2 linked regions of the Callithrix jacchus genome follow. The protein of the gene in region 1 purifies or fractionates together with the protein of each later gene. This does not show direct contact. Links are inferred from orthologs where the notes say so. Each region holds a gene or a part of one and is shown in the gene's direction. Other genes may lie near its edges.

Region 1 (5,259 bases):
ACAGGCAGAACCATCTCTACGAGGACCTGTTTCGTGCCCGCTACAACCTGGGCACTGTCCACTGGCGCGCAGGCCAGCACTCCCAGGCCATGCGCTGCCTGGAGGGTGCCCGGGAGTGTGCGCGCACCATGAAGAAGCGGTTCATGGAGAGCGAGTGCTGCATGGCCATCGCGCAGGTACCTGCTCTGCACGGCACCAAGCTTGGGCTTCTGGTGACTCAGACCTTGGGGAATCTGCAAAAATCTCTCTGTTCTTTGCTTTCCAGGTCCTCCAAGACCTGGGAGACTTTTTGGCTGCCAAGCGAGCCCTGAAGAAGGCCTACAGGCTGGGCTCCCAGAAGCCTGTGCAGAGGGCAACCATCTGTCAGAACCTCCAGCACGGTAAGTCTGGGGGCCGGAGTGGGGCCTTGGGAGGCATATGCAGGGATGAGCCTGGGGGCCAGGGTGAAGTCCCAGGAGGTGTGTACAGGCCTCCCTCCCTCATGGAGGTTGCCTGAACACCTGTCCTTGGAGGCAGCAGCTTCAGCTTCTAGCAAGAGGGGCAGGTGCCCCCACTTCCTGACGGGGGAGACCCCTGTTTTTCCTCTGAGCTCAACACAGTGTGTCAGGGGCACTGAAAGGGCAGCCAGGAGACTAGCTGGGTATTTATTTTGCGGCCACCGTCTTCATTCGCAAACTGGAGACTGTAGTTGTTCCTGTAGTCTCCCAGGTGGGAGAGCAGGTGGCACGAATGTGGTCCAGGAGTGCTGATGACTGAGACCACCGTGGGAGGTTGGTAGTGGTCAGCCTTTGCTTTGAACCAGGCACCATCTGAGTTTTTAAGTGTGTCCTTCTGATCTCTGAGACCAGTCCCTGAGACAGACCCTGCTCTTACCCCAACACCAACAGGCAAGCAGAGGTGTGGAGAAAGTAGTGGGGCCACCACAGGGCTCATGGCACACAGGTGGTGGAGCTGACAGCAGGGCCCCCTGTGTGCCCCCTGGGCTCCCCGCTGCATGAACCTTTTCCCGGCAGTGTTGGCAGTAGTCCGGCTGCAGCAGCAGCTGGAGGAGGCCGAGGGCAATGACCCTCAGGGTGCCATGGCCATCTGTGAGCAGCTAGGGGACCTCTTCTCCAAGGCAGGCGACTTTCCCAGGGCAGCTGAGGCTTACCAGAAGCAGGTGTGTGGTCCCCACTGGGTTGGGGGAAGGGCTGGTGAGGTTGACAGGGCCTGGCCAGGATGGCAGCCCCAGGCCTCACTGATGCTGCCCCCAGCTGCATTTTGCTGAGCTGTTGGACAGGCCAGGGGCAGAGCGGGCCATCATCCATGTGTCCTTGGCCACCACGCTGGGAGACATGAAGGACCACCTTGGGGCCGTGCGCCACTATGAGGAAGAGCTGAGGCTGCGCAGCGGCAACGTGCTGGAGGTGAAACCCCTGCTCCCTGCCCGAATGCAAGTTCACCCATGTCTCTGCCTCAGGACTGCCATTCTCAAGGGTAGCCATGGACAGCCATCCTTCCTAGACAGGCAGCTCCTTCCTAGGACCATCCACCCTCGGCAGCTGGGAGACAGGGCTCTCACTCCATGTGGGCAGCTGGGGAAGCCTGGCTGGGGCCAGGTGGACATGGTGGCTGCCAAGCCTCAGATCTCATCTCCTCCTGCTCCAGGAGGCCAAGACCTGGCTGAACATCGCACTGTCCCGAGAGGAGGCTGGTGATGCTTATGAGCTGCTGGCCCCGTGCTTCCAGAAGGCACTCAGTTGTGCCCAGCAGGCCCAGCGGCCCCAGCTGCAGGTACAAGAGCATGTCCCACCCATGTCGGCTCCCCAGTGAGCCCAACTTCCTTGCAGCCTGCCTTCCCCCCGTCCTACATCCCTATCTTTCTTTGCACCCCCAGTCCTGAGCTGAGCATCTCTCTGCTCCTCAGAGGCAGGTCTTGCAGCACCTCCATACTGTGCAGCTGAGGATGCAGCCCCAGGAGGCCCCTGGCACTGAAATCAGATTACAGGAGCTCATTGTAGCTGAAGACGAGGAGGAGGAGGAAGAGGAGGCGGCGGTGGCCACAGTGGACAGTGGAGCCCTGGAAGCCAGTGAGGTGGAGCTCTCAGAGAGCGGTGAGGCCTGGCGGCACCTGGCATTTCTCTGAGTCTGTCCTGGGCTGGGCTGGAGAGGGGTGTGCTGTGCTGCTGTGGAGCCTGCTCAGGGCTTGTGGCGGGAACAGCCAGAGGGAGGCAGGACGGCCAGTGCTTCCCTGGAACTGAGTGGAGAAGGTGGTGAGCTGCAGGGAGCCTGGGGCAGGCCATGGCTTCCCAGAAGAGACAGTGGTTGAGAGCTGAGTGTGTGTCAGTTGGAGACATGGTCCCATTAGAGGTGGAGGTGCCATCCAGGGCCAGGGTTGAGACGGTGCGTCTTGAAGAGCCTTGCTGCCCCCGCAAGAGCTGAGCACCTTCCTGAAACCCTCCAGAGCAGGCTTGGGTGTCCTCCAGAGCCGAGTGAGGTCGGCTGCATGGAGGACGGACATGAGGGACTGGCTGGAGAGGGGCTTGGACTGAAGCCATCTTGGCTGTGGTGCAGGGAGGGAGGGCCGAGAGTCGGGTCAGTGGGTGGCTGAGGGGCTGGTTTCTGACTGAGTGGTAAGTGTCAGAAGCCTGTCCGTGAGGCCTGTTTGGGGGGTGTTCCAGGGAAGGCTGTGACTTCAGCTCTATACTTGAGGGGTCCTTTAGAAACCCAAGTGGCCGGCCAGGCAGCTGTGGGAAGTTGGAACTTCACCAGATTGGTTGCTGGGGCAAGGTGGATCAGGATCTGGAATTTTGGGGAGTGCTGTTCGGCACGTGGGCACAGTGAGGAGCTGGGGAAGGGCCAGGAGGCAGCTGGCAGGGTGCGAAGGGCGTGGTGACGAGGGATCACCAGGAGCAGGGATGGAGGTGGGTATGTCTGCTGCCTAAGCAGGGTGGGGGCTGCGAATGCAGGGCACCCAGACTCCAGGGCTGACCTGGCCTGATGACACTGCTCAGGAGATGGGGGTGGAGAAGGCCTGGGATGGTGGGAGGCTGGCCCGGGAGCCAGTCACAGCATGGGGATGAGCAGCTGGCTCACGGATGGATGGGGCCTCAGGCAGGCCTTCTGAGGGAGGGCCAGGCCTAGGTTGGGCCAGAAAGCTTAGGGGTGTGTCTTAAGTGGGCAGAAGATGGCAGGCAGGAGCAAGCAGGGTCAGGTAGACCCAGAGGCAGCGCCGGGACCGCTGCCAAGGAGCCCCAAGAGCCCAGCAGCCTCAGAGCTCAGCCTGCCACCTCTGGCTCCTACCTGGGAGTTCGGGGAGCTTGCAGCAGGGTAGGGGCTTCTAACCTTTGCCTCCCACAGACTCATCTGGAGTGGGTTTGGCTCTGTTTCAGAGGACGACACTGATGGCCTGACCCAGCAGCTGGAGGAGGACGAGGAGCTACAGGGCCGCCTGGGCCAGCGGAAGGGGAGCAAGGTGAGGATGGTGCCCTGCCCCCACCCACCCTGCTCAGCAGCCCTGCCAGCCCCTCACTCCCCTGTCCTGTGCTGGGTTGGCTGTGCCCACAGTGGAACCGGCGAAACGACATGGGGGAGACCCTGCTGCACCGAGCCTGCATTGAGGGCCAGCTGCGCCGCGTCCAGGACCTCGTGAGGCAGGTGGGCCCTGCTCTAGGACTTGGGACAGGCTGCCCGGCACAGAGGAGCTGTGTGTTTGGGCAGGGTCCCTTGATCTCTGTAACTCTCAGCTTCCTTATCTTTAGAATGGGACCCCTTAATCAAGCATGGTGGCACTTGCCTGTGGTCCCAGAGGTGGGAGGATCATTTGATCCTGGGAGGTTGAGCCTTAATGAGTCATGATTACACCAGTGCACTAGCCTGGGCAAAAGAGTGAGACCCTGTCTCAAAAAAAATGAAAAAGCAGAGGCTGAGCATGGTGGTGTACACCTGTAATCCCAGCACTTCGGGGTGCCAAGACACACAAATCGCTTGAGCCTAGGACTTCAAGACCAGCCTGGGCAACATGGCAAGACCCTGTCACTACAAGAAATTTAAAAATTAACTGGATGTGTTGGCATGTACCTGCCATCTACTTTGGTGTTTGAGGTGAGAGGATTGCTTGAGCCTAGGAGGTTGAGGCTGCAGTGAGCTGTGACTGTGCTACTGCAGTCCAGCCTGGGTGACAGACCAAGACCCTGTATCAGAAAAAAAGCCACAGGCCAGGCGTGGTGGCTCATGCCTGTAATCCCAGAACTTTGGGAGGCCGAGGCAGGTGGATCACCTGAGGTTGAAATGGAGACCAGTCTGGCCAACATGGTGAAACCCCGTCTCTACTAAAAAAAGAAAATTAGCCAGGTGTGGTGGCACGCACCTGTGGTCCCAGGTACTTGGGAGGCTGAGGCAGGAGAATCTCTTTTCTTTTTTTTTTTTTTTAGACGGAGTTTCGCTGTTGTTACCCAGACTGGAGTGCAATGGCACGATCTGGGCTCACCGCAACCTCTGCCTCCTGGGTTCAAGCAGTTCTCCTGCCTCAGCCTCCCCAGTAGCTGGGACTACAGACACGCATCACCATGCCCAGCTAATTTTTGTATTTTTAGTAGAGACGGGGTTTTCACCTTGTTGACCAGGATGGTCTCGATCTCTTGACCTCGTGATCCACCTGCCTCAGCCTCCCAAAGTGCTGGGATTATAAGCGTGATCCACTGCGCCCGGCCAGGAGAATCTCTTGAACCCAGGAGGTGGAGGTTGCAGTGAGCCGATATTGCACCAGTGCACTCCAGCCTGGGTGACAGAGCAAGACTCCATCTAAGAAAAGAAAGAAGAGCCACAAAATAATGGCGTGCAGCTGGGCACGGTGGTGGCTCAGCACTTTGGGAGCCCGAGGCAGGTGGATCACCTGAGGTCGGGAGTTCGAGACCAGCCTGACCAACATGGAGAAACCCCAACTCTACTAAAAAAAAAAAAAAAAATTAGCTGGGCATGGTGGCACATGCCTGTAATCCCAGCTACTTGGGAAGCTGAGGCAGGAGGCTCGCTTGAACTCAGGGGCTGGAGGTTGCAGTGAGCCCAGAGCACACCATTGCACTCCAGCCTGGGCAACAAGAGCAAAACTCCGTCTAAAACAAAAACGAGGAGTGCCTGGAGTATGGTACGTATCTGTGCTGCAGCTAAGTTGGTTGGCTTGGCCAGGATGGAGACTAGCCCGTAGGCTGAGACCTGGGCACCTTCCTGTGCTGCCTGCCTCATACCCTGTGACTGGGTGGGCTGTCCTCCCACAAGGGG
Region 2 (5,881 bases), on another chromosome or scaffold:
TGGGAAACAAGAGGGAAACTCCGTCTCAAAAAAAAAAAAAGAGTTAAGACAGGAAAAGCAGTATGAGAGGGCTGGAGCTAATTCTTGCAGCTTCCAGTGAAATATCAGGGAGTTTTTTTCTTCTTAAATACTGTTGTATATGACATGTTAAACAAACAAACAAAAAGCCAAATTAGTGGCATCCAGGTAGATCTTCTCAGTTCTTCCCTTCATGCTGCATATCTACCAAAAGTGAGTTTATGACTGATCTCATTGTAACACTTACGGTCAGACTGCAAAATGCACCTGATTTTAACAAGCACAAAATGTCATTTTTATGAGAGTAACTAGATTCTCAAGAGTACCTGTAATAATCAGACAACTGCATACACTAGTCTCACAGGAGTTTCAATCTTCAAATGGTCATTTTATCTTACATAAAATAGTGTCTTACAGCATACAGCAATTTCCACTTTATCGTAGCTAGTGTTAGGACCAGCCCTAATAAGAATGAAGAGTGTATTGTTTATCAGTCACAGAAATCTGCGTCTATCCCCATGGTTTGACTCTTAATACTCTAATGTCACAAACAACTGGGTTTGAAGGTCTTTTCTGGTAGGTCCTATATCTAACTGTTCAATCCACTGACAAAAAAGGAACTCTTCCCCACTCTGACATGGTTTTCCTAAATGTAAGAGGCGCTGATATTAGCTGTCTCACATTAACTTTCAAAAGACCATCAGATGAAAACGTTTCATTAAAAGGCACCTACTTAAGTACGAACAATGCCCAAAGAATGACAAATCAAAATTCTGGGCACTATACTAAGAGAAAATTCTTCCAAAACAGATACTTAAGAATTTTTCTCTCTGAATTTGGCCAAGTTTGGTGGTTTCATTCACAACATTTAAGGAAAAAAGTGATGGTTTATGGATAGCAGGTAATAAAACAACCCTTTACATCACTTACTAAATAGAAACGGTTTAGGCTCACAGACATGTTAAAGCTTCCTCTTTCCCTGCAATGGTAGTCAAGCCGCATAAACGAATCAACGTTTCCTCAGTTCAAACCCGAACTGGTTACAGGCAAGCAAGGGCTCCTGAGAATTTGCTTGCTGTGCTACAAATTTTTATTTACTAACGGTTTAGGTCAAGAATTTTTTTTTGAAGATCAAATGTCTTGCTATGCCTTTGTGTTCTTTTCCCATCTGTTATGTTTGTTGCCCTGTTGGTCTCCTGACACTTCCATTTTCTGTTCTCTCCAAATGGCTGTAACCTGGGGTATAACTAATCACATCGCTTGTGATTCTTTTCTTATTCTAGGACTTTCCAGATCTGGACTCGGAAGACGACGCCCAGGTGCAAGCCCAAAGGTTACCTATTTAGATTTTCCAAGCACAGTGTGTGGAAAATCATTCCTCGCCCTTCATTTTGTGTCTGCTTAACGGCGCTGTCGTGCCCAAACGTAGATACTGGCCAAGAGCTAGATTTCCAAAATGGCTTTGCTCCTTTCGAGCCGACATCGGTCTTTAACATGCAATTTATTTCCACTGCAGCTAATCATTCTCTCTACTCCAAATACTACCCGATACACAGAAAGCTGAACCTAACCCAGTGTAAACACGGACTCTCATCTGCTAAATTCAGCAAGGCCGTCAGAGCCTTTGCACCGATGTAAAAAAAAAAAAAAAAGAAAAAAAAGCGTTAAAACAAAAAACCAAAAAACAAAAAACGCCAAAACACCTCACACGAAACCAACTAGAGGGGCGGGCGTCGCCCGGATCGCGCCCTCCCGCCACGGCCACGCCTCCCCGCCGCGGCCACGCCCCTCGCCTCTCTCCGCGACGCCGGCGGCGGCCTCCGCGCGGGCCTCCCAGCCCTTATTCCACTCACTTTGTTCTCCGCCTTTGTCCTAATCCACACCAGCAGGTGGAGCCGCAGTTAAAGTTTCCGAGTCCATTCCGGGAGCGGGAGCCCATCTTGCTGGCTGCCGAGGCACTCGCTGGAGGAGGAGGGTCAGAGCTCGGGTGCAGCCAATCGAGGGCAACGCTGCTACTTATCAGAGCAGAATGGGCTGTAGTTTAGTGAAATAGGAAAGCTGCAAAACACTGTGGAGTGTTCCCGTGTAAATAAAAAGAGGGAAAAAAAAGTTTCTCAAGTCGCCGCTGCACGACGTCGGGCCGGCGCTGGGGCGGGGGTCTGCGCTCTCCCGGGCGGCCGCGCGCTGGACTTTATTGTGCCGCAACCAGCCCCAGTTCCCATTGTTTGTGTTTTTTTCAAAATATGGCAAAGGTTCAGGTGAACAATGTAGTGGTGCTGGATAATCCTTCTCCTTTCTACAACCCGTTCCAGTTCGAGATCACCTTCGAGTGCATCGAGGACCTGTCTGAAGGTGAGTGCGGCGCCCGCGCACCCGGGCTGTCAGTTGCGGGCTGCAGACGTTGAAAGTTTCCCGGGCCCGGCCTCGCGCTGGGCGGCCGTGCTCGGCGCCGGGCGGCCGCGGGCTCCTCTGCGGAGGGAAACTTGAAGTTGATGGACGACGGCAGCCGAGGCGCGCGCGGCGTTCCGCCGCAGCCCAGGCGTCTGCCGGGCTCAACTTGCGAGGAACTTGTTTGAGCCGAGGAGCGGAGGTAGCCATGTTGTCAGCTTTGTCTGCGAGCGGGCAGCTCGGAGACCGGCACTCGCGCCCGCGGCGCCGCCGGGGGTCGCGCGGGGCTGGCTCCACGACCAGCCTCCACGACCCTCCGGGCTTGGGCACGGAGGCTGGGAAGGGAGAGGCTGTGCGTGTAGTAGCGCCGGCGAGTTCGGAGCGGAGCCATCTTACCCCGAGTCGAGAATTGGGCCAGCGACCCCGGCGCACGGCGCCTTCTCTTGCCCCGCCGCCCGCCTGCCCTCCAGCCCCTGGCGAAAGGCAGGTAGTCAACTCTCTAGAGCTCACAGTGGAGTCGCCTCACTCTCCGGGCTGGCCATGCCCGGCCGCTTCAGAGAGGAGAGCGAGGCTGTCCTCGCGCTGATTTCTGGCTCCCTCGACCAACCAGCAGGGGAGGCGGGCACAGGCTCGGCCCCTCCGCGCCGCGGGCTGGGCGCCGGCGTTCCCCGGGGGCCGCGGGTCCTGTTCGGCCGGTCCTCCTCGGCCGGCGCCCGGGATGCGCCGGGATGCTGGCGCGCAGGCTCCCCAACCAACGTGGACTCCTTTCCCCTAATGACGAAAAGCTAATCTCAGGAAGAGAAATAAGAGCTGAGCTAGGAAGTTACATTTAACCTAAGAGCAGAAATTGGATACTTAAATAATTTCAGGACTTAATCTTTGCCTTCTAAATAGTCTTTAAGACTTTCTTCAAGGACGTGTTGAAATCTAAAATAACTCCACATCCAGATACACAACACACCCTGAACATGAAACACAAACGTAGGCTAGAAAATTAAGGTAAAATACTTAGTCCAAGAATTCTTTATATTTTTTTCTACATGTTTCAAGGTCTTAAAAATACGTATTTTAAAATATGTGTAGTAATATTTAGAAAGCTAAAACGACAATTATCCTTGCTTTTATTTTACTAAAGTAATTCAGTGCTTAATTTGCCAGTTTTGAAGGGGAAAAAGTTTAACTTCATCGATGAGGGACATCTTTGAATTAGAAGTATATTTTTAAAATGCATTGAAGATTTGGCTAATCATAGCATGTAAAACTATTTTCATTTTAAAAACTAGTTTTTAATCTCTAAAATGTATATATCTTATGTGAGTTGTTAACTTTATAAAAACAATATATGTTCATTGTAATAAACTTATAGAAAGTTGTACAGGCATATATAAAGTTAACAGTTCTCTGTGTTAAATACCTTCCCCTATCTCACTCCTTTAGGTAATCACAATTATTACTTTAACATGTGTGCCTCTGTTTTTTAAGACCTATGCAGAGCATAAATACACATATAGGGCAAATTTTAAAAGATAATTCATTTATTAAAATAATTTCAAATAGGCCATTGATAACATTAAGGGGTATTTTTCGTATTACTCTGAAGTCATCTGATTATTCTCTTACGATACTACTATTAATATAAGCATTGCAGCTACCAGCACCATTTTTCACACCCAACAGTCAGTAAATTTTTCTTTTTTATTGCCAATTGCATATAAAAACAGACAAAAGAAAAATCATTGGTCAGTCCATTCCAAATTATACCACAGTGTTCTTCAAATATACCACCAGAAGTTCTTCAAATTACAGGTATTTCTCAAGTGATGCCTTCCATTTTAGGAGTCAGCTCTGAACAAAGAAGATAGATGACTCAGGATGTCGTTATAGATGAAACCAGCCATTCATAGAAGCCAAAACATGTTCCATTTTTAAGTGGGATCCATTCAGAACCCAGCTGAATCACATCAGGGTTTTACAGTACTGGTGTCAAGAATATGCTTATTTCCAATGGTATATTTCACTTCCAAGGCACCATTACTGAGTATTTAGTATTTTAAAAAATATTTTAAGCTGAGTCATGCCAAAGCTGCAAAGGAATCTTTCAAAAAGGGGCCATGACTGTGTACTCCACCTAGAGGCTATGTGGATTTAGGAAATGAGTTTACTTAGCAAAGGTTTCTTATAGGTTCCATACTTTTATATTATAGTTTTTTTAAAAAAAAATTCTTAAACTATAGAAAAAATTTTTCTTTTAAATGAGACAGGGTCTCACTGTGTCACTCAGGCTGGGTGGAGTGCAGTGGTGCAAACACAGCTCCCTACAATCTCAATCAGTCCTCCCACCTCAGCCTCCTGAGTAGCTGAGAAGACGGTCAATGTACCACCATATCAGGCTAATTTTTTAGTTTTTTGTAGAAATGGAGTCTTGCCATGTTACCCAAGCTTGTCTCGAACCTCTGGACTCAAGCAGTCCTCCCACCCCTGCCTCCCAAAGTTTTGTGATTATAATCACTGCATCCAGCCCAAATTATAGAATATTTTGAAAAGAATTTTCTTTATGAGTTACTTTGTCTCAAGTCTCAAAGCGGAGTTTGGCCACCATTTTTCATACTTTTGTTAATAGCCCCCAAACATTCACTCTCCTAGACCTGCCCTGTAGCTTTGCTTCAGAAAAAGCCTTGAGGAATATCTGTTCTTAAGATAATTTGGTTCTAATATAAGGCTTATATTAGGAGTTAAAACAGTCTTTAAAAATGGGAGGTGCTGAGGCTTTAATGTCTGAGAGATAGAAGACCCTGGATGTGCTTGATGGTCAACGACACCTATACAGGTTTTGATTGACCATCCTGCCATTCTTAAGTTTACATCTTCATTACAACTACTCTCAATTGAATACTTAAATACTAAAATTGAGCATGGTGCTTCATACTTTCCAACTTCAGTTTGTTCTAATTCCAAAGCCTAGATACTTTCCACTAGACCACAGGTCTTCCCAAGTAGTGTAATTAGCTAAAAATTCCCTTGATGACTTCCCTCATTCACTCACTCTCACCACAAATGGAAATACTTTCAGGCTGGGTAAATCATTTAATCATGGTTACCATGATTAAATAAAACAATTAGTTACCTTTAAAATAAATGAACAAATTTCTTCAACTGAGAACTTATGTAAAACATCTGACCTTACCCTTTCTCCCTCAAATACAGGGGGCAGAGGAATTACAAGAAAGCTGAGAAGTTGGGTTAAAAAAAAAAAAACTGATGCCAATGTATAAAAAAAGTACTGGGCATGTAAAACTCAGTAACTATAGCAAGCATCCCATAAACATAAATATCAATGTACAAGCGCTCCCTGAGTTGCAGCCTGTTCTTGTTAAGGCTAGATTATCTCTTCATTCCTTCTGCTCTCACTTCCCCTACAAATAAATTCCCTTATTCCACTGCTAATTTCAGAGCTAGAGAGAATTTATTTTCCCAG

The links. The genes of interacting proteins can lie anywhere in the genome.
Region 2: the proteins of TONSL (region 1) and ASF1A purify together in Homo sapiens (affinity purification with mass spectrometry; 4 studies listed by BioGRID and IntAct, counting the BioPlex papers as one, with this or other methods). This does not show direct contact. The link is inferred for Callithrix jacchus from reciprocal best matches to the Homo sapiens genes TONSL and ASF1A.

Annotation. Positions count from the first base shown.
Region 1 is NC_133517.1:53,193,837-53,199,095, forward strand, and holds part of TONSL (tonsoku-like protein), read left to right. Parts: intron 1-4; coding exon 5-176; intron 177-265; coding exon 266-380; intron 381-1,013; coding exon 1,014-1,159; intron 1,160-1,253; coding exon 1,254-1,406; intron 1,407-1,647; coding exon 1,648-1,773; intron 1,774-1,906; coding exon 1,907-2,093; intron 2,094-3,371; coding exon 3,372-3,454; intron 3,455-3,546; coding exon 3,547-3,636; intron 3,637-5,259. UniProt on the Homo sapiens protein: Component of the MMS22L-TONSL complex, a complex that promotes homologous recombination-mediated repair of double-strand breaks (DSBs) at stalled or collapsed replication forks.
Region 2 is NC_133505.1:125,224,327-125,230,207, forward strand, and holds the start of ASF1A (histone chaperone ASF1A), read left to right. Parts: upstream 1-2,013; 5' UTR 2,014-2,261; coding exon 2,262-2,370; intron 2,371-3,923; exon of another isoform or gene 3,924-4,219; coding exon of another isoform or gene 4,220-4,251; intron 4,252-5,881. UniProt on the Homo sapiens protein: Histone chaperone that facilitates histone deposition and histone exchange and removal during nucleosome assembly and disassembly.